4 linked regions of the Schizosaccharomyces pombe genome follow. Changing the gene in region 3 together with the main gene of any one other region gives a genetic interaction. Each region holds a gene or a part of one and is shown on either strand. Other genes may lie near its edges.

The links.
Region 1: mutations in mmb1 (region 3) and gld1 together harm fitness more than expected from each alone (negative genetic interaction), as found in Schizosaccharomyces pombe (one large-scale study listed by BioGRID).
Region 2: mutations in mmb1 (region 3) and byr3 together harm fitness more than expected from each alone (negative genetic interaction), as found in Schizosaccharomyces pombe (one large-scale study listed by BioGRID).
Region 4: mutations in mmb1 (region 3) and any2 together harm fitness more than expected from each alone (negative genetic interaction), as found in Schizosaccharomyces pombe (one large-scale study listed by BioGRID).

Annotation. Positions count from the first base shown.
Region 1 is NC_003424.3:2,174,108-2,178,178, reverse strand, and holds gld1 (glycerol dehydrogenase Gld1), read left to right. Parts: upstream 1-1,606; 5' UTR 1,607-1,818; coding exon 1,819-3,171; 3' UTR 3,172-3,538; downstream 3,539-4,071. Other genes in the region: vta1 (Vts1 family protein), read left to right, coding at 1-597. UniProt on the Schizosaccharomyces pombe protein: Glycerol dehydrogenase involved in the assimilation of glycerol.
Region 2 is NC_003424.3:2,246,677-2,250,392, forward strand, and holds byr3 (translational activator, zf-CCHC type zinc finger protein), read right to left. Parts: upstream 1,888-3,716; 5' UTR 1,807-1,887; coding exon 1,267-1,806; 3' UTR 553-1,266; downstream 1-552. Other genes in the region: F-box protein Pof14, read left to right, coding at 1-405; tRNA (uridine) methyltransferase trm9, read right to left, coding at 3,696-3,716. UniProt on the Schizosaccharomyces pombe protein: Acts in the sexual differentiation pathway. Is required for efficient conjugation. Double-stranded DNA-binding protein.
Region 3 is NC_003423.3:2,608,164-2,612,664, reverse strand, and holds mmb1 (mitochondrial microtubule binder Mmb1), read left to right. Parts: upstream 1-2,024; 5' UTR 2,025-2,121; coding exon 2,122-3,627; 3' UTR 3,628-3,977; downstream 3,978-4,501. Other genes in the region: SPOM_SPBC25B2.08 (uncharacterized protein), read right to left, coding at 79-456; BTB/POZ family ubiquitin-type ligase substrate adaptor Btb2, read left to right, coding at 4,295-4,357. UniProt on the Schizosaccharomyces pombe protein: Involved in the cell polarity process and in regulation of microtubule growth. Has a role in meiosis. Involved in microtubule dynamics.
Region 4 is NC_003424.3:3,810,580-3,816,251, reverse strand, and holds any2 (arrestin-related substrate adaptor Any2), read right to left. Parts: upstream 3,704-5,672; 5' UTR 3,131-3,703; coding exon 1,997-3,130; 3' UTR 1,704-1,996; coding exon of another isoform or gene 1,312-1,703; 3' UTR 1,226-1,311; coding exon of another isoform or gene 859-1,225; 3' UTR 507-858; downstream 1-506. Other genes in the region: ser1 (phosphoserine aminotransferase), read right to left, coding at 1-399; SPOM_SPAC1F12.06C (DNA repair endonuclease), read left to right, coding at 859-1,225, 1,312-1,703; SPOM_SPAC1F12.04C (uncharacterized protein), read left to right, coding at 4,611-5,186.

The sequences.
Region 1 (4,071 bases), on a different chromosome or scaffold from region 3:
ACATCTTTTGCTCTCCCCACTACATCTCCAGCAGCATCGCTCTCCATCTCTCCTACAAAGTCTGCAGCCGTATCTTCCGAGCCTAATGTAGAAGCAGACGTAAAATCGTTGTCTTCAACACCGGCTGCTCCACAACTAAATTCACCTTCCCATTCATATGAGCCTACCACGTTCCCCTCAACTACATCAATAACCGAAAATTTGCCAACAATAGATCCTACTCGTTCCACTCGCTCTTCCTCGCATATCCAAAGTTTATCTCCTGAGTCAAAGCAAACATCAGATGGGCATCGGCCTCCCTCCCCTACGTCAATCACCACCACCTCCACCTCCATCGATCCGTCAGTAGCATTTTCCAGCAAGTCAACTTTAGCCACAACAAGAACAAATGCCCCTCTATCAAGGCCATCTCAACCGACTAAAGCCTCCCCCTTGAACAAGTTTTCCGCCTTGGAGGCTATCCAATCTGCTCGAAGTCATGCACGCTATGCATACAGTGCATTAGACTACGAAGACACAACGACAGCCATTCATCATCTAAAGTCGGCACTAAAACTTTTGGAGGAAGAGGAGCAGGGAAATCATACTGCAGACTAGAGGAAGAATGCTGGGGCTGGAATGGAGGGGATCTCAATGAGACAATGGGAAAAGGTGGGGCAGATACCAGTAAAATTATCTATCCATCTTGGGGAGAAACAATCTAATTGTACCACTCTCCCCACTATTCGTCTCTCTTAATGTTTGTTTATTTGTTTGTTTTTTTTTTATCCACTTTTTTTTCTTCAAATGCTTTCTAATTGTAGCAGGACCCCGCCTTTCTCTCCACTCTTCCCATTTTCCCTCGCCGTTGAGTGGCACTGCTCATCCCTGTCTCCTCATTTTTTGTCGCGTCATTTTAGCGAGCGTTTATTAAGGAACTGGCGAATGACTGCTGTTGTATATATTTCCCCAGATTTTCAGCAAGTAAGCTTTTGTCTTGTACTGCATACCACGTTGTCTTTCTTGCCCCTATGACGCAGTTATGAGACCAACGAGTCATGGGTTTATCCTGCCTCATCTTTTGTTACGTTATTTTCCTGTCTGCTTGGGTTTGGCTTCCGCAGTGGGGAACTGGCAATTGCGGTGGATATGTGTGGTGTCATCGCCCTCTCATCAAGTTTATATGTAGAGGGGCAGCGCTGAATTCTTTGCTCTTGGTTATTGCTTTCGCAGTTTTCCATATTTCCCCCATCCATCCATCCATCCATCCACCTCTTCTCTTCTCTTCTTTTTTTAACAGAATTGCTTTTTCCATTGTAAAATAAAACCATAGCAAGTTTTCACTACCACTTGGGTTTTTTTTTCTTTTCTTTAATTATTTTTTTAATCAACTTTCGTTGCTTTAATTTTTAAATATTTTTTCTCTTTTCATTCTTCCTACTCTTCCCGTTTACCGTCGATCGGCTGATTCTAGTTTTGACAATCACCATTGACTACGTCGATCCCTTTTTTTTTGGCCAGCCGAGATCATATATCCCGTTCATTCTTGGAACTTTCGTGATCTTTCGACTGTCTATTGATTCCGCAAACAAGTATATATATACACATATAGTTGTTTTTTCTTTTTGGACCTCTGTTCCATTGCGTTTCTCTCCTTCTTAGTTACTTGTGCTTCTTTACCTATTTCCTTTTTCTTTTTAAATAAGGATTCTTCTGTATCGAAATAAATTTCAAGAAAGGTAAGAACCGTTCCACACGCCTATTCTTGTATTTCTCTTTTCTTCGATTTGATTCGATTTCTATTCGTAACGCTTAGCTAGTCTTTGAACTTCCTTCATAATGATTGGTCCTCGTCTTTGCGCTGCAACCCCTCGCTTCCCTCTCGTTTCCCTCGCCCACAGGAACTCTAAAGTATTTGCGCTCGCCTCTTCCAATGCCGTTGCACAACGTTGGGGCAAACGCTTTTATGCTCCTATTGAAACGGAGACGCCTCACAAAGTTGGTGTAGAGTTTGAAGAATCCAAAGATCGCATTTTCACCTCTCCTCAAAAGTATGTTCAGGGTCGTCATGCCTTCACTAGATCCTATATGTATGTCAAAAAATGGGCCACTAAATCAGCTGTCGTGCTTGCCGACCAGAACGTATGGAACATTTGTGCCAATAAAATTGTCGATTCTCTTTCTCAAAACGGAATGACTGTCACCAAACTGGTCTTTGGCGGCGAGGCAAGCTTGGTGGAACTGGATAAACTTCGCAAACAGTGCCCTGATGATACTCAAGTCATCATTGGAGTTGGTGGTGGTAAAACCATGGATTCCGCAAAGTATATTGCTCATTCCATGAATCTTCCATCCATCATTTGTCCTACTACTGCCTCCTCTGATGCCGCTACTTCCTCTCTTTCCGTCATTTACACTCCTGACGGTCAATTCCAAAAATACAGCTTTTACCCCCTTAATCCCAACCTCATTTTCATCGATACCGATGTGATTGTTCGCGCTCCCGTCCGCTTCCTTATTAGTGGCATTGGTGATGCTTTGTCCACCTGGGTGGAAACTGAATCCGTTATTCGCTCAAATTCCACTTCCTTTGCCGGAGGTGTGGCCTCCATTGCTGGCCGTTACATTGCCCGTGCTTGCAAAGACACTCTTGAAAAGTATGCCCTGAGCGCTATTCTTTCCAACACTCGCGGTGTTTGTACCGAGGCATTTGAGAACGTGGTCGAGGCCAACACATTGATGTCTGGTCTAGGCTTTGAAAACGGTGGTCTTGCTGCTGCTCATGCCATCCATAACGGTATGACCGCCATCCACGGTCCCGTTCATCGTTTAATGCATGGTGAAAAGGTTGCTTACGGTACCTTAGTTCAAGTTGTTTTGGAGGATTGGCCGTTGGAAGACTTCAATAATCTTGCTTCTTTTATGGCAAAATGTCATCTTCCCATTACCCTTGAGGAACTTGGTATTCCCAACGTAACCGATGAAGAGTTATTGATGGTAGGTAGAGCTACTTTGCGACCTGATGAGAGTATTCACAACATGTCAAAGAAGTTCAATCCATCTCAAATTGCTGACGCTATTAAAGCCGTTGACTCCTATTCACAAAAATGGCAAGAACAAACTGGATGGACCGAGCGTTTTAGATTACCCCCTTCTCGTCATAGTCCTCACTTGACCGACATTCATCCATAGGCATTATTTTTATCCCCAGCTTCAATTTTCCCTAGTAAATCCAAAAGAAGAAAAGAAATTTTTAAGCGGGTTTTCTTCATTGATCATTAATGTCCTGAGTGTTTTTTTTTCTATAGTAGTCTTTTATTTCGTGTGCTTCCTTTCCTCTTGGAACTTTTTTTACCTTTTTTCTTTCTTCCTTTTTTTTATTTTTTTAAAAAAGTTGTAAGCTTTTCCCGTTAATCTAGTGATTTAATGATCAACCTTTTCGGCCTACTCCAAAGTTTTTTACGCCCCTTATAACTTCATGAATAATTTGCTTTATTTTTGTTACGAATGAAAAAAATTGTTCCCCTTTTCAAATGAATGTTTTATCGTTGTTAGTTGTATTGTATTAAAGTTGTTCACCGTAATTGATCTATTTGTTACAATGCACATCATCTGTGTTGCTTCCTTTTTTTTTTTTTTTTTTTGCAATCGCTTTTTATTGTGATAGATTTCAAAAGTTTTAAATGTAATTACAATTAATAATGTTCCTATGTTAGAAAACTTTAAATAACTAAAGTGATTTGTTTTCACGTATTATACAATTGTCGCTAGTGGCCTTGTCAAACATTCGTTGTTATTATATTATATGCTAACTCAATATGATTAGTATGCTACAAATGGTATAATAAGTGAGTAAATCCCGGATTCCTAGCTACATTGAAAACCCTTTTTACCTTAACCTTTGCATCGATCAACAATTTCGCGCTTTATTTACATTGTTTACTGTGGGATAAATAAGTAGTGTTGTCAACAATACATTACTCAAGGATACACTACGTTGAGTATCACTATATGACACATGTCCTAATCATTCATCGTTGTATGAAACAGTATTGAGATTGACCTTAATAATAATCTATTAATATTTTTATT
Region 2 (3,716 bases), on a different chromosome or scaffold from region 3:
GGAACACAGTCATGCGATGAGTCTACATATATAGAGCTAGCATGCAATCTTGTAGGCCGTTGTGTGCTTTGCAATAGAATACCGAAGTTAACTAAGTTTAAAGATTGCATTACCTCATTTTACCGGCCTTCTGTTGCTACCAATATATGTGATCAATGCTTAGAAGCAATCATTGACTTTTATGAACCTGTAAGTAGATACAAATTTGATGTTATGAAAGATCGTTTAGGGGTGGGATATATAAGCAGGCCTGGTCAAAAATTCCCCTCTTGGTTATCGGAGCATGTTCAATTGGCTAGGGATGAAGAGAAAGCGTTCAAGAGTATTTACCATTCTCAAGGTGAATTTGCAAGAAGTTTATTTCGTTTGTTTCGAGCGCAGTTGGCTGAGTTATGTGAACAATAAAATTTTGGATTAATATACTACGATTTTATGTAATAGACAAATTCGATGTCAAATTTGTATGAAAGTAAAATTGAAGTTAATAAATTTTTTTTTGTCTATGACAACTGTTACATTTATCGTTCACCCGTTTTCAATTACAGTTCATTTTTGAAAAGCAGAGTAAGCAATGCAAGGAAAAAATAATATTAATTAGGCAAATGACCCAGAACCCTTTTGTAAATATTGTTATACAGATACCATGAGAGATTAAGAAGTAGAGAAGTTGTTAATAAGTCAGAGCATTAACATTTACTGTACAAACACATAAGGTAAATTAAGTTACTCAAAAAATACGAAAACGCCAAAACCCATTTCGTAAATGAAATTGATAGTGAGTTGTCATATAAAACCAAAAGTTCCATTAAATAATGGCACTAAAAAAAACAAATCATCCAAATGGACCAAGGAATTTCTATCATTTATAGAATTCCCATATTCCAAATTTTTTTATTTCAAGCTCGTGAATTGAAAATAATAGGAAAAAAATGCCACTACAACAGTAAAAATAAACTGAAACAAAAAGGATTTAATCTATCAACATCCATCTTTTAGCGGTGACGAGAAAACAGGAGAGAAATGAGGTGGTGCATCTCAGGCTTCAGTACAAATATCCTTAAGGATCCGAAGCAAAAATGAATTCAGAAGTGTGCGAAAAAATAAGGACGAAGAGAAGGATGTAAAATTATGCTTTCTATATAACTAAATGCGCAGATCGCTCAAGGGATTTGTAAGAATATGACCACTTGCCAAATTTGAATAAATCGGACAAGAAAAAGAAAAAATATCTTCATACCACGACAAAGGGTTATAAATAGCAAGCACTTATGCCTCAATTACAGGAGAGGTGCAATTGACGGCGATGTGGCCTGGTTGATTACACTTGTAACAAAGTTGACCATCTGAAGCTTGTTGACATTCAAAGCTGCGGTGTCCAATCTTACCACAAGAGTAGCATTTCACGCCCATAGTGCAATCACGGGCTTGATGGCCATAAGAGCCACAAGCATAGCAATTCATGTTGGAGCGATGACCACCAAATCGTCCGCCACTTTGTTGACCATTTGTACGACAGTCTCTAGCAATGTGACCAACACGACCACACTTGTAACATTCCGCACCTTGACGGGGGTTAGGGCTGCTGGGGCAATCACGAACGAGATGTCCGGCGGTACCACAAGCATAGCAAGTTTTTTCCTGTTGAGGCTCAGTGCATTCGCTAGCCTTGTGACCGGTCTGATTGCAATTGTAGCAGATTGAACCCTTGGTGCACTCACGAGCTTGATGACCGTTTTCACCACAGTTATAGCATCGAGGACCGGGACGAGTGGTTTGAGGAACGGTGGGAACAGATTCAGACTCCATCTTAACAACTCCTTTACAATTAAAAAAAATTATTAAAGAAAATTAAGAAAAATAAAAAAAAACAGAAAAAATGTACTTTTTCTCGCTAACCTGACTACACTTCCTTAATAAATAGGAGCGTGTGACTGTCTAAATTTTTCTTAAGTAACAAGCACATGGTGGCACTTGGAAGTAACGAATTTGACAAGCGACTATTTTGGTCTTAAAGATGTCAATAAATAAGAATTTAGTTGTTTTAGACCGACGGAAGAAGCACAACAACTTGCCAATTAAAAAGAGTCATGGAATCGAAGAATTGTTACCGCATACTTGCTTTTTTTTGTGATAGAGAGTGTAATATCTTACATAACTAGTAAGCTCACTCTTTCCCATAAACTCAGGACTTTTTGGTTCTGACAATAGCTTTATATCATAGCAATTATTGCCTCCTCATTGTAATGTAGATTGGTATTCCAAGCGAATATAACCAAACGCTTAGTTACTTTGAATCGTGGTAAATAAGCATCGTTATTTTTCATGGCAAAAAATCGTAGAAACATTGCATTCACAGTATAGCGCCTGAAGAATTGAGTTCAGTCATTTGCAATATATATATTACTGGAATCTATAGTTGTACATATTTTAGGTATCCAGAGTACCACGTGCTTGAATTCAAACAAATCAAAATAAATCCAAAAATTGTTTTGGTAAAAAATAATGCTTTGGCCGGGAATCGAACCCGGGTCGAATCGATGGCAACGATTCATTATACCACTAAACCACCAAAGCTTGTTGAGGTTTCGATAAAAAAAGATTTAATTATATTACGCGACGATATATCAACATAATAATTTTAAATAGATAATTAGGATCTTGGAAATCTTTTTATATTTTTCCTAGACTTTATGAATATAACAAATACGAAATAGAAGGTGAATGGAATAGAAAAAAAGTAATCATTCGACTAAGGAGCAAAGAACTGCTGATTACTTCTTTATTTGAATTTAGCAACCAAGAATTTATTAATGCATGTCGGATTATTAATTTAATTCATGCAGTAAGTGTTTTGCCAAACTATTAATTGCTTATTTTTTTCTCTTTGGAATTCGTTTTGGTAAATAGAAAAGCAAGTAACTTAGTCGCATTTAAATTATTAAATTCAAATCAAATTTTGTACGTTAATTACTATTCCTATTTGTGGCTTAATAAATTTTGTATAATTCCTACATATTTTTTACAATTTATCATTATTATTGGGACACGTTTATTCAAACACTGTTTTTTAGATAATTCATTTCATACTCAAGCACAGATTTATATTAAAAGTTTAACATATACAGAAATGCATGATTATTCCAAATTATTCTAAAAAAAAATATTTTTTTTTTGAAATTTATTCATTTTACAAAATGTTTTTGCTTGACATACTTCATCGATTTCCAATACTTATGCAACCTTTGAACCGTCATTTCACTAACCTACGTGAATAAACTATTAACAAAAATTAGATTAACATTTTAATTTCCAACCCATTCACAGATGTATAGTATCATTTAACAGAAAACCACTTCAATCGATATCAAATTATCACTATTGTCATACTAAGAAACCGTCAATTTTTTTTTTGAAAACAAGTACATTTGACCGCTTTTCGCCCTTGGGAATGACTAGTTCATCGCTTCATTTTATAATTAAACGCAGTAAATTAATAATCGAGACATAAAACACAGAAATTCTTCTACCAGTTAGATTAAAAAAAAAAATCTGTAAAATCATTTTCCGAACGAAAATAGTTTAAACTATGTAATTAAGGTAAAATAGAAATATTCCAACTTTTTGAGAACAAGTTCAAGAAAGATGAAAAATCTGTTCTATCAAGGTGATATGACGATCAATTTTCATTCCAAAACTTAGTTTTTTTCAGCAATTAC
Region 3 (4,501 bases):
AAATCAAAAATTTAGTTGGACAAAAAGATAGCATTATATATGAATTTATTTAATTATGCTGACATGTGCACAAAATAATCACGAACATTCCCCAATTACTGGCTGTTGTTCAATAGTAGCCAAAGCCAAGGCAGAAGTAGTACTGATTAAGACAGGAGATGAAATTGATCGTACCTTTTTAACCGACCTTATCCGTTGCTTACGGAGCCTTAGAATACCAAAGAAAAGTGTATCAAATAGTTTGAAGGAGCGAGAACGCTTGACAGAAGTATGTTTCTTAATACCAGAACGGGAACGATTATGCATAGGGGTATTTAATTTTTCACTCGATATACATAACTTAGAGGGATCTTCAATGTTGACAGAAGTAGGAAGTTGCGATGGACTGCGCATATCATTTGCCTGCGCATCATTAGTGCCTTGACGGGTATAACTGGAATTTTGATGTGGAAGCATGGTAATAAATTTTAAGAAAAAGAGAAAATAAAAGTAAAATGGAAACAAATCACAATCAAAGGTGAAGTGATGGGATTAAAGGTTTTAATGAGAAAATAATTCGACAAATATGTAACAAAGGGAAACTTTTTTTTTGAATTACACGAAATGTTTTCAAACTTGAATTATGCACAAAATTAGAGAAACCTGAGAATAATAAATAAGCTTGATAATCCAAATAGCCAAGGGATTAATGGGATATAGGGTTGTAGTGATATTTCGGGTGTTTAATTTATTTAGAAATGGGTATAAAGTCCAGACTGTAAACAGAAAATAATCAGTAAACGAAATCTTTAGTGTTCCGTCCGAAAGAAGTTACCCTAACGAGATATGAAATTATGCGAACAGACGAAGTTTTAGAAGCCGACAATTGAATAAATAAAGGATCAAACTTGCTTAGTTTTATCGAAGGAAGCAAAGCAAGAGAACCGTGAGTAGGAAATAGAAAGTGAACAGTAATAAAAAAAAGTAAAACAGTAGGGAACGTTTTCTTAGAGCTTATTACAATTACGAAAAATAAAGCTTATCCCAATTGAGATAGTTAAAAAAAAAGGAACGAAATAAAACGATATGAAAGACAACAAAGGATGGAAAAACAAAAACAAACCGCTGAATGAATTAATCAAAAGAAAGCGGAAAAATTAATAAATACTCATCAATAGAGTAGCACAAGATGAAGCGAAGGGAGTAGGACAAGGCGTTAAGCCTGCGTTTAGTCTGAACAATAGATATAGACTAAAAAGTGAAAGACGGAATTTCAAAGTCTTAATTGGGGTATTCTATGTATATATACGTCCATATCTGGTAACATTTGCAAACCGTCTTTGATGTCAATTTAATAAGGAACCGAAGGTAACTTGCACACCTTGAGCAGTGACTGGGAGTAACACTCTCCTTGACATTCCCTCGGTACATAGGAGACGAATGAACCGAATGAACAAATAAACTAGATAGTTGCCCAAAAATGCACACAAAGCATTATCACTTTTATTAATTCAAATAACGACATACCAAAGTCGTAAAAGTTGGTAACAAACTCTTCAAATGATATTTCTACTATAACATTTTTCGTAGTACTTACCACTACGGGAGATTTGTAGAATCGGTATGATGCTGTGGAAGAAGAGTTATAGCGGGTTTCCTCAATGTGTACATGTTATTCTCATTGTACACTTGCATCTTAATTTTCACATTGCTCTCTCCCATCAATGATTTGCTTTGGAAAAACAACGGGAACAGAAATCTGGGAGGGAACGGAAAAGTATATTCATAGCAATCACAATTTAACGATAATTATTATGGTCAAATGAATACATATATTGAAAAGAATCGGTCAGCTGGATAGAAAATATGTAAACAGTGCAGCACTTATGAAGGTAATTTTATTTGTTTGCATCAGGTAGCAAGAGTTTTACGGGGATTAATAGAATTCGTTATATATACACTAACAATATAGGACGTAGTTTGTTATTGCTACCTAGTGTTGGGCGATACCAGCTAACGGTGTAGTGTATTTGGCTTTCTCTTTTGTGCATTCAGGGTTGTTGATTGCGAGTCTTATTCAATTTTATTCTGCCAATGCCGGGTTCACCAAGCCAAGAGCCTTTGGCAGAGGCCGAGTCTAATATGCTTCAAAGACTGGAGCAACTACAAATGCAAACATCGAATATTCTCAAGGAACTGCATTCTACGTCGATTTTCACGGATTCTACCACCTCACAACTTCATAATGGAGGTGAGAACTCTGTAATGGATACTGAGGAATCCTCGGCTATTGATAAATTAAGTGCCTCTTTACAGCAAGTAAACATTTCTTCACCATCAGTTCCTACCTCTCAATCTCGGGTTACCCAAGGCCAGTCATTAGGAAATACCCAAATATCTAATCCTACTTCAAAGACTAATAATGTACGAGCCAAAGCTCGGAATATTCGTAATCCCTCTCAACGTCTTCGACCCTCGACTAGTTTGGCCAGGTTATCAAATAACGCACCTCGCATTCCCAAAGAGGCATCACTACATGAGAATTCAATTTCTTCCAAGGAATCTCCTTCTGTAACGACCTCTAAACATGTCGCTACTATTACAAAACCTTCAACGTCGTCTATCGCCCGAATGTCCTCAAATGCTAGAATTGCTGCTATTCCGAGAGCGAAATCTTCAATGGCAGTTCGTTCACCATCACGCCTTGGTAATGGCCCGAATGTGCGCTCACCAAAGGTCGGCTTCAATGCAAAGTCGGATGATAGCCCCGTCGTCAAATCTCCTGGCTCTAACGACAAGCCTTCAGCTTCTCCTCGAATTTCTGTTCGTTCTCTCGGAAATTCTTCTGTCGTTCGTCCACCCACAAGGACTTCCACCACCCGTCCATTATCTAGAGTTAACGTAACAAATGCTTCCGGAAGTATCTCAAAGAATTCTACTAGTCCTTCCAAAGTAAAAGTCAACGCATCGACCAAGATCGTGCGTCCTGTAAGTGCAGCTCAGACTGTCCGACCGGGATCCAGAATCTTCAGAGAAAACTCTGCGTCCAATACTCAAAGACCCAACGTCTCTGCCACTTCTAACTCAACTGTTCGGGTAGCTTCTTCATTAGCTGTACGACCTGTTTCACGTAACGCGCAGGCGCGTACTCCCTCAAGATTAGAACAGAGAGAAGTTAATGTGAAAAATTCATCAGCTAAAATCGTTCGTCCAGGTACTTCTTTAGGTGTTCGTTCACCTTCTCGCATTCAATCCACTCTCTCTTCGAGGACAACTACAGGCAATGTTCGTACTAAAGCGGCTAATATCGTTCGTCCTTCTTCATCAATCAACCGTCGCCCTCCTTCGTCAATAAATCAACGCCCTCCTTCAAACTTGCGCATTTTGGCTCCATCTCGCTCGCGTGCAACAATTCATGAGAGACCAAGCAGTTCAATTTTACACAGGCATGCCCATTCACTAACTTCTTCATCCTTTTCCACTAAAACATTGGCTACAACCAAAGAAATTCAGAATTCGCCTACTTTGGTAGAGTCTTCGACAGTCGTTCATCATGATCCTTCTTATCTTCAAAACCAAACTTCCGAAATTAACGATACTAATCACTCTTCTCATTCGTCACCTTTGGACCTTAACAGAATGATATAAAAGTTGAGTGAGCTGCTGTAATTTGATGGCTTCTGTTCCATTTACACTTATTATTCTGCATAATTTATATCACATGTAGATGTTTTATCATAAGGATATTATTATTAAAAATAAGACAAACCATACGGGAAGAATTGGATGTTACGATTTGATATATTACTTTGTATTACTTAAGATCAGCTAATTAATAGCTTTTAAGCTGAAATTATGTTGCATAGGTTTATTCAGTTGAAAGCTTCACGACTGACTTGATGATAGTCGAGAAGTTTAGAGGGATGCGCTCTGTGTTAAAATTCAGCATGCAGCAACATCAGCATACAACCGATATGTAATAAATTAACATTAACAAACTGGCATTGTTTTCGTGCTCTATCAACTATCAGCAGTAAGTAATTGAAGACATTATGAAGTAAATGAGATTGCTGCATTACTAATTCATTTAGCAAAAAATTAAGTAAATAGAAGGGTTAATTTGTGCAACTTGTACGGTATATTTTGGATAGCGCAATTACGTTACGATTCATAACTGCAAGAATATCGAGCTACTCCAGTGCGCTTTCCTTAGGAAACCAAAACAATATTTTAGTACCTTTTTTTTAAATATTACTGACGAGTTTCATTCTGATTTCTTTTTATTACTCCTAACGGATGTGGCTTTAATACAATCATGTCAATGAACAGCTCAACGGAAATTTCTCAAGAGCCCTCTATAATGAAACCGGTATCTTCAGTAAGTATTTTTGCTATTTGAACTTCTGCGTACCTTGAGTCTCAGTTCTTGTATGAACTTTACTCTCAAATTAATGGTTGTTTGCGTAGTTAATTATTTTGGATTTATTGTTAAATCGTTCATGTTTTGTTTAACGATTTCCAA
Region 4 (5,672 bases), on a different chromosome or scaffold from region 3:
GACTGCAACGTGGCATGGGAAGCCTAAGCGTTCAGCTTCAGCATATGCTTTTTTACTCCAGGCTCCGGTAATAATATAGTTTGCAACAAGAGATTTAGCATTGCCATTCTTGAGGGCATGGTGTGCATAAACATTATAAAGACAAGCGGCAAATTGTTCTGTACCACCGCCTTGCATAAATAAAATATGAAAGTTTTCGGGGATATTGTAAAGTTTACGAAAATTGGATTCAGCAGAAGTAACGATCCCGGAACCTTGCTTGCTGCGATGGGAAATTTCAGCGACACCCATGCCAAGGCCCTGGAAATTGACAAAGTCCTTTCCAAATTCCTCAACTACAGAGGTAATCATAGCGGCAGGACCGGCAGCAAAATTAACTACTTCCTCTCTGGATGACATTTTGTTCCGTGAGCTCAAGCAGAAGTATACTTAGAATTTAAAATAATCTGAATATCAATTTTCACAGGTATTACTCCAAAACTATTTATATGAGAGTAAAACTAATTACAATAGTAAATGTCGCCTAGAGAAATCAAAACCTGTCAACGTGATCCAATTATCAACTCCTATGATATGGGTTAAGAGGAAGTGAGTGAAGTCACTACTTCTTTTTTATACACACCGATGAGATCCCAAAAATGATAGCGTATTCGTTTACGCTTTGTCAATTTAATTCTTTTACAGTAATTTATATTTTAGATATCTCATTACATTAATTGACATTTCGCGTCTAAATCTCATATGTGGGAACTTCTACCTTTTCACTTCGTGGTTTTCGTACTCAACTCAAGCCCCAGAAAAGACCGGTTTATTTTAAATTAAAAAACACCTAAATGATTTTAAGATCAATTGTATATTATGAATAATGACAATTTGCATGATAAGTTAACGATATGGCGCCAACAGCAAATTGAACTTAAAGGGATGTTGCAGCTAATTCCCAAATTTCAAAGTTTGAATGAAATAAGATATGTTGTAGGATTGGATATCTCTTTTGATAAATCAAGTCCAAAGGCTGTCTCAGCCCTTGTTATTTATGATTTAGAACAACGTATGATTATTTATAAAGATTATTTGTGCATTGAGAAATTAGAAGAGGACTATGTTCCCGGGTTTCTTTCATTTCGAGAAATTAAATGGTATTTGCCATTGCTAAATCACATTCCTCATCAATTTCGAATTGATATCATTTTAGTAGATGGAAATGGCGTATTGCATCCTGTCGGTAAGTAAGATTCTGTAAACAATCTATTTACTTCAAGGAGACACTCTCAATGAAGGATATTATTAATTATATCTAACTCAACTTAGGATTTGGATTGGCTTGCCATTTAGGTGTGTTGTTGAATCTTCCCGTTGTTGGCGTCGCGAAAAATTACTTACATTGCGTGGGTTTGACTGAAAGCTTAGATGCACATCGTGAAACTTTAAAGAAACACGTGCTAAAGAAAACAACTGATCATCCAATATTGATTCACTCGATTGATCAATCTTCTGAGATTCTGGGCGCTGCAGTATGGACAAGCAGTAACTCGAAACGCCCAGTTTATGTTAGCATCGGTAACCAAATGAATTTAGAACAGTCTATCCAACTCGTACAGAAATGCAGTAGCTCTCATAGCAGGGTACCGGAACCGATCAGGCAAGCAGACATTTATGCCAAATTTGTCCTAAGTCAATCGAAAAGGAATAAGAAAAATTAAGCAAAATCATCTTACGAGAAACATTACTTTGTCTACTTAGATATTCTGTGAGTATTTTAATTGACGGTTTAGAATTAGATTAATCTACAGGAAAGAGAAATAAAAAAGCGGAATTTGAACAAACGTTAAGCAACCTTTAATGGAAATCCTGTTGTATCATCCAAGCTTAGTAAAGGTCAAAAAATTACCGTTCAAGTCATATAAAGATACACAAATCTTTGAAATGAAAAAACAAGCCCAATTAAAACAGAAAGATAAAAAAACAAAATTGACGGAAGAAACTAAAATTCGAATCAATCTCTTTGAACATTTGTAGGACATGAAGGTGGAGGTAGTGGAATATCAGTGGGAGAGGATCTAGCAACTTGCTCATATGCAGGAGGACTGGGTCCAACACTATTGAACATTGGGGGGCATTCCTCATCCCAACTAACACCAAGACCACCTCGTTCAGTCAAAGGTAAATTGACCTTCATCCTTAAAATTCGGGCATTCGAGTTTATGGGATGCGAGTTCATCACTTCGACGACTATAGTCTCAAGAATTAGTTGATGGGCAATATATAGAGAGAATTGTCCATCAAAGGAAACATCACAAATAGGCTTTGAAAGTAAAGATGTACTGATAGGGATCTCGAAGATAATTCTATCGCCATCTTCTTTCCAACCAGACTTATGTTCATTATTTCCCAACAGCCGAGTCTCCTTGAAAATGTATGGCTTTTTTGTCCCAGTATGGGTCGAGCAACCATTTATTTGAGCTTTTATCTGTTCTTCTATTCTCCACGAAATCTTCGTTAAGCGCCAACCAACCTTGGAGTTTTCAGGTTTTACACCGGTCAGCTGAAATTCAACAGGAACACAACTCAAAGGGTGAATTACAGGAGGCAGCTCTAAAAGAGCAATAAGCGAAGTAGGGGGGAAGAGACGCTGGGCAATTTTATCAGCATTAGTGACAATAGAGCGTTTCAAGTTTAAAGGATATTCAAAAACAAAATCGGGTTGACTGGGAATCTTAACGCGAGTTTTTAGGATGTAAGTAACGTTTATGAATGGTGAGTTGGTCGTTTGTGGAAAATGTCCAGGTATTATAAAAGTGAATGGCCAAGTATGTGTACCATGAGTATATACGGTAGGTTCTTTAGAAAACTCCCATTTCTCAAAAGCCTCAACCTGAGCTTTGCAATCGGGACAGCTGTCGCGCAAAGGACGCTTTGTGGATATTATGCGGACGAATTCCATGACAATGGATTCGCATTTGAGATCTGCAGGAAATACAGTCAACTTGGCAAGTCCAGATGCTAACGCTCCACTAGAAACATCTGGATTCCCATACATTACCAAAGGAGGAGACTCCATCTGGATGTTGAGTTCGAAAGGTTGTTCTTCTGTTGAAGCATGCTGAAATCTCCTGACTAATGAAGGCATCTTGACGGTTCAGCTAATGACTTAGGAATTAAATATTAAAAGGAAAGAGTAGGAAAAAATGAATCTAAAGAACAAAGGGGGGCCCGATCAGAAGAATTAATATGAGATTGAAATTAAACAAACAGAAAACGGCTATGAAGAGAATGAAATATATTTTTTGGTAAAAATTTTAAATTAATATATATCCTTAACAGCTTCTGAGGTTGAAAGCGACAGCACAAGAGATGAACTCAGGTTTTATGTAGAACGGAATAGGGATTATCGAATTTGGAGCTTACTCCTTAAACGTTTGATCAAAGATAAGCAATTGTGCTTCAATTTTTTTCAAATGATATAAAACAATTGAAAAAACAACTTCCTCTCAATAGTAGTTCGAAATGGAAAAAACAATTAAGTAGCGTTGAATGTGTTTTTCTATGCCAAAATATTTACTCAAATCAATATACAGGAGCCTTTTTTTAGCGTCCAAAGAAATACTTTGCTCACTGTAAGCAGAGCGTAACTATGAATACAGTGCATATAGCACCTCCCTATGAAAAATATACTAATGTAGTAAGAAGAGAAGGTTTTTGCAAAGGAAGAATAGGAAGTGTAGTCTGCATGCTCCCCAGGCCACTGAATGCGAAGGTTTTCAAAGTTTGTTATCTACAATCTTACGTAGCTGTGCGTATCTCAAGCCGACCTAAACAAATCTCGTTATTCCAAATAATATTTATTTTAAACAGTTATCATAATTCTATATGATAATAATCCATAGTAACTAAGCTGTTTTATATGTATCTGAACAAAGGAATAGAAAAAATAAACCCAGTTTCCAAGTTTTTCTTTCTTTTATCCTTGAACATATGTATGTTTAATTCTTAAGATATTGCTACCTAAGGATTTGTAATAAAAAATACGTTATGATAAATATTAAAAAAATAACACATAAATAAGCATATGCCTCTAGAAGCCTAACAAATTTATGTTTTTTATTGCTGAACTATTTTTTTAAAACACATGCAAAAAATGATTTGCCGATACTTTGAAGCCGTCACAGCTGTTTGTTGCAACTGAATACACTTTCCTCAATATCGGAGTTATTTCCGGCGATCTAATCGACGTGATAACTGGAGAAAGTTATCATATCTTATCATTTGTAATTCTAAAAGTAAAATCGATCAACTCATAAAATAACATTTCACTTTGCTGCACTGTAGATTTTTCTTATCAAATCTATTGGTGTACTAAACAGACTAGCTAACGTTTGCTGATCCGATCGACTATAGCAGCACACTCACTCTCTATACCATAAGACGTTGCCGAACCGACATCTATCGTCATTCAAATAATCTTTGGATTTGGTAATTTTAGTCGTTTACATACGCTACTTAGTATTTTTTTGGATTTTACGCTTTTCTACTAAAGTATACGAAAATTAGACTACCTTTCGTGAACAATATAATTGACCAAATCTTAGAGCTGAAATTTTTTGAGAAATATGTCTTATATGCATTCTTTAAACCTGATGCTGCAAAATCCCAGCGGAATTGACAAAATTGCTGCCATTCTTGTCAACGTTGCGAGGTTGGATCCAGCATCTTCGAAATCAACTGCTCAACTGGTTTCTATGCTAAATGAATTTCGATGTATTTTACGTCTTCCTGGTCTCTACAAATTAATCGTAAATTTTCGTAAAGATTCTTCTCCTGAAACTTACATGAGTAACGCAATCAATATTGGATACTATGTCACAGAAGGATTGGCATTCTTAGGCGGCAAACAGATTATTTCCATATCAAAACCGTTGGAAGACAAATTATGGCTTTGGTCTTCTAGATTTTGGCTTCTCGATACTTTATTGACCATTTACCAGCTTTTGCGTGAAAAAACAGAAGACGAAAAGGAGCATCAGTTAGACTTAGCTTCAAACTTGGCTAGCCTTCCTTTGTGTATTCACTGGTCTGTAGAAAATGGAGCTGGTTTACACAAACACCAAATTGGAGTTCTTGGTCTTTTCAGCGCAATTGTACAAACTAGAAAACTAATCCTCTCTTTGCACAATAAAAGAGCTTAGTTACGAATGAGCTTTTTAAATTTAAATAGAAGTTACTTTTTTCATGTAATTCTATTCGTGCTCAACTATTTTTCGTTTTCTCGAATGTCTATGTGAGTAAAGTAGTAAACAAAAGTGGTAACAGTCGTCTTGGTTTTTTCAGCAAAAATCGAAATATGCCATTCTAAATGAAGGGACTGAATCGGTTTAAAGCTTGAAAGGTTTTAGAAATGAAGTCGATTTTAATCGTTAATCCATTCCATTAAAGCGTTTTAAATTTTGGGATATTGATCGAAAATTTAATCAACGGAAAACATTAAGTTACTCTTTGTTTGTCACCAAAATGTACCTTGTCATTTTTTTCTAATTGAACTGAATATCTTTATTAACGAGTGTTTTTAATGGCCCTGCAATTTCAAATTGAGGATGTACGATATCATACTTTTAAGTATATCATATATAAACGTTAAGGAATTATTATCAACTATAATGCACTACTTTTTTAGG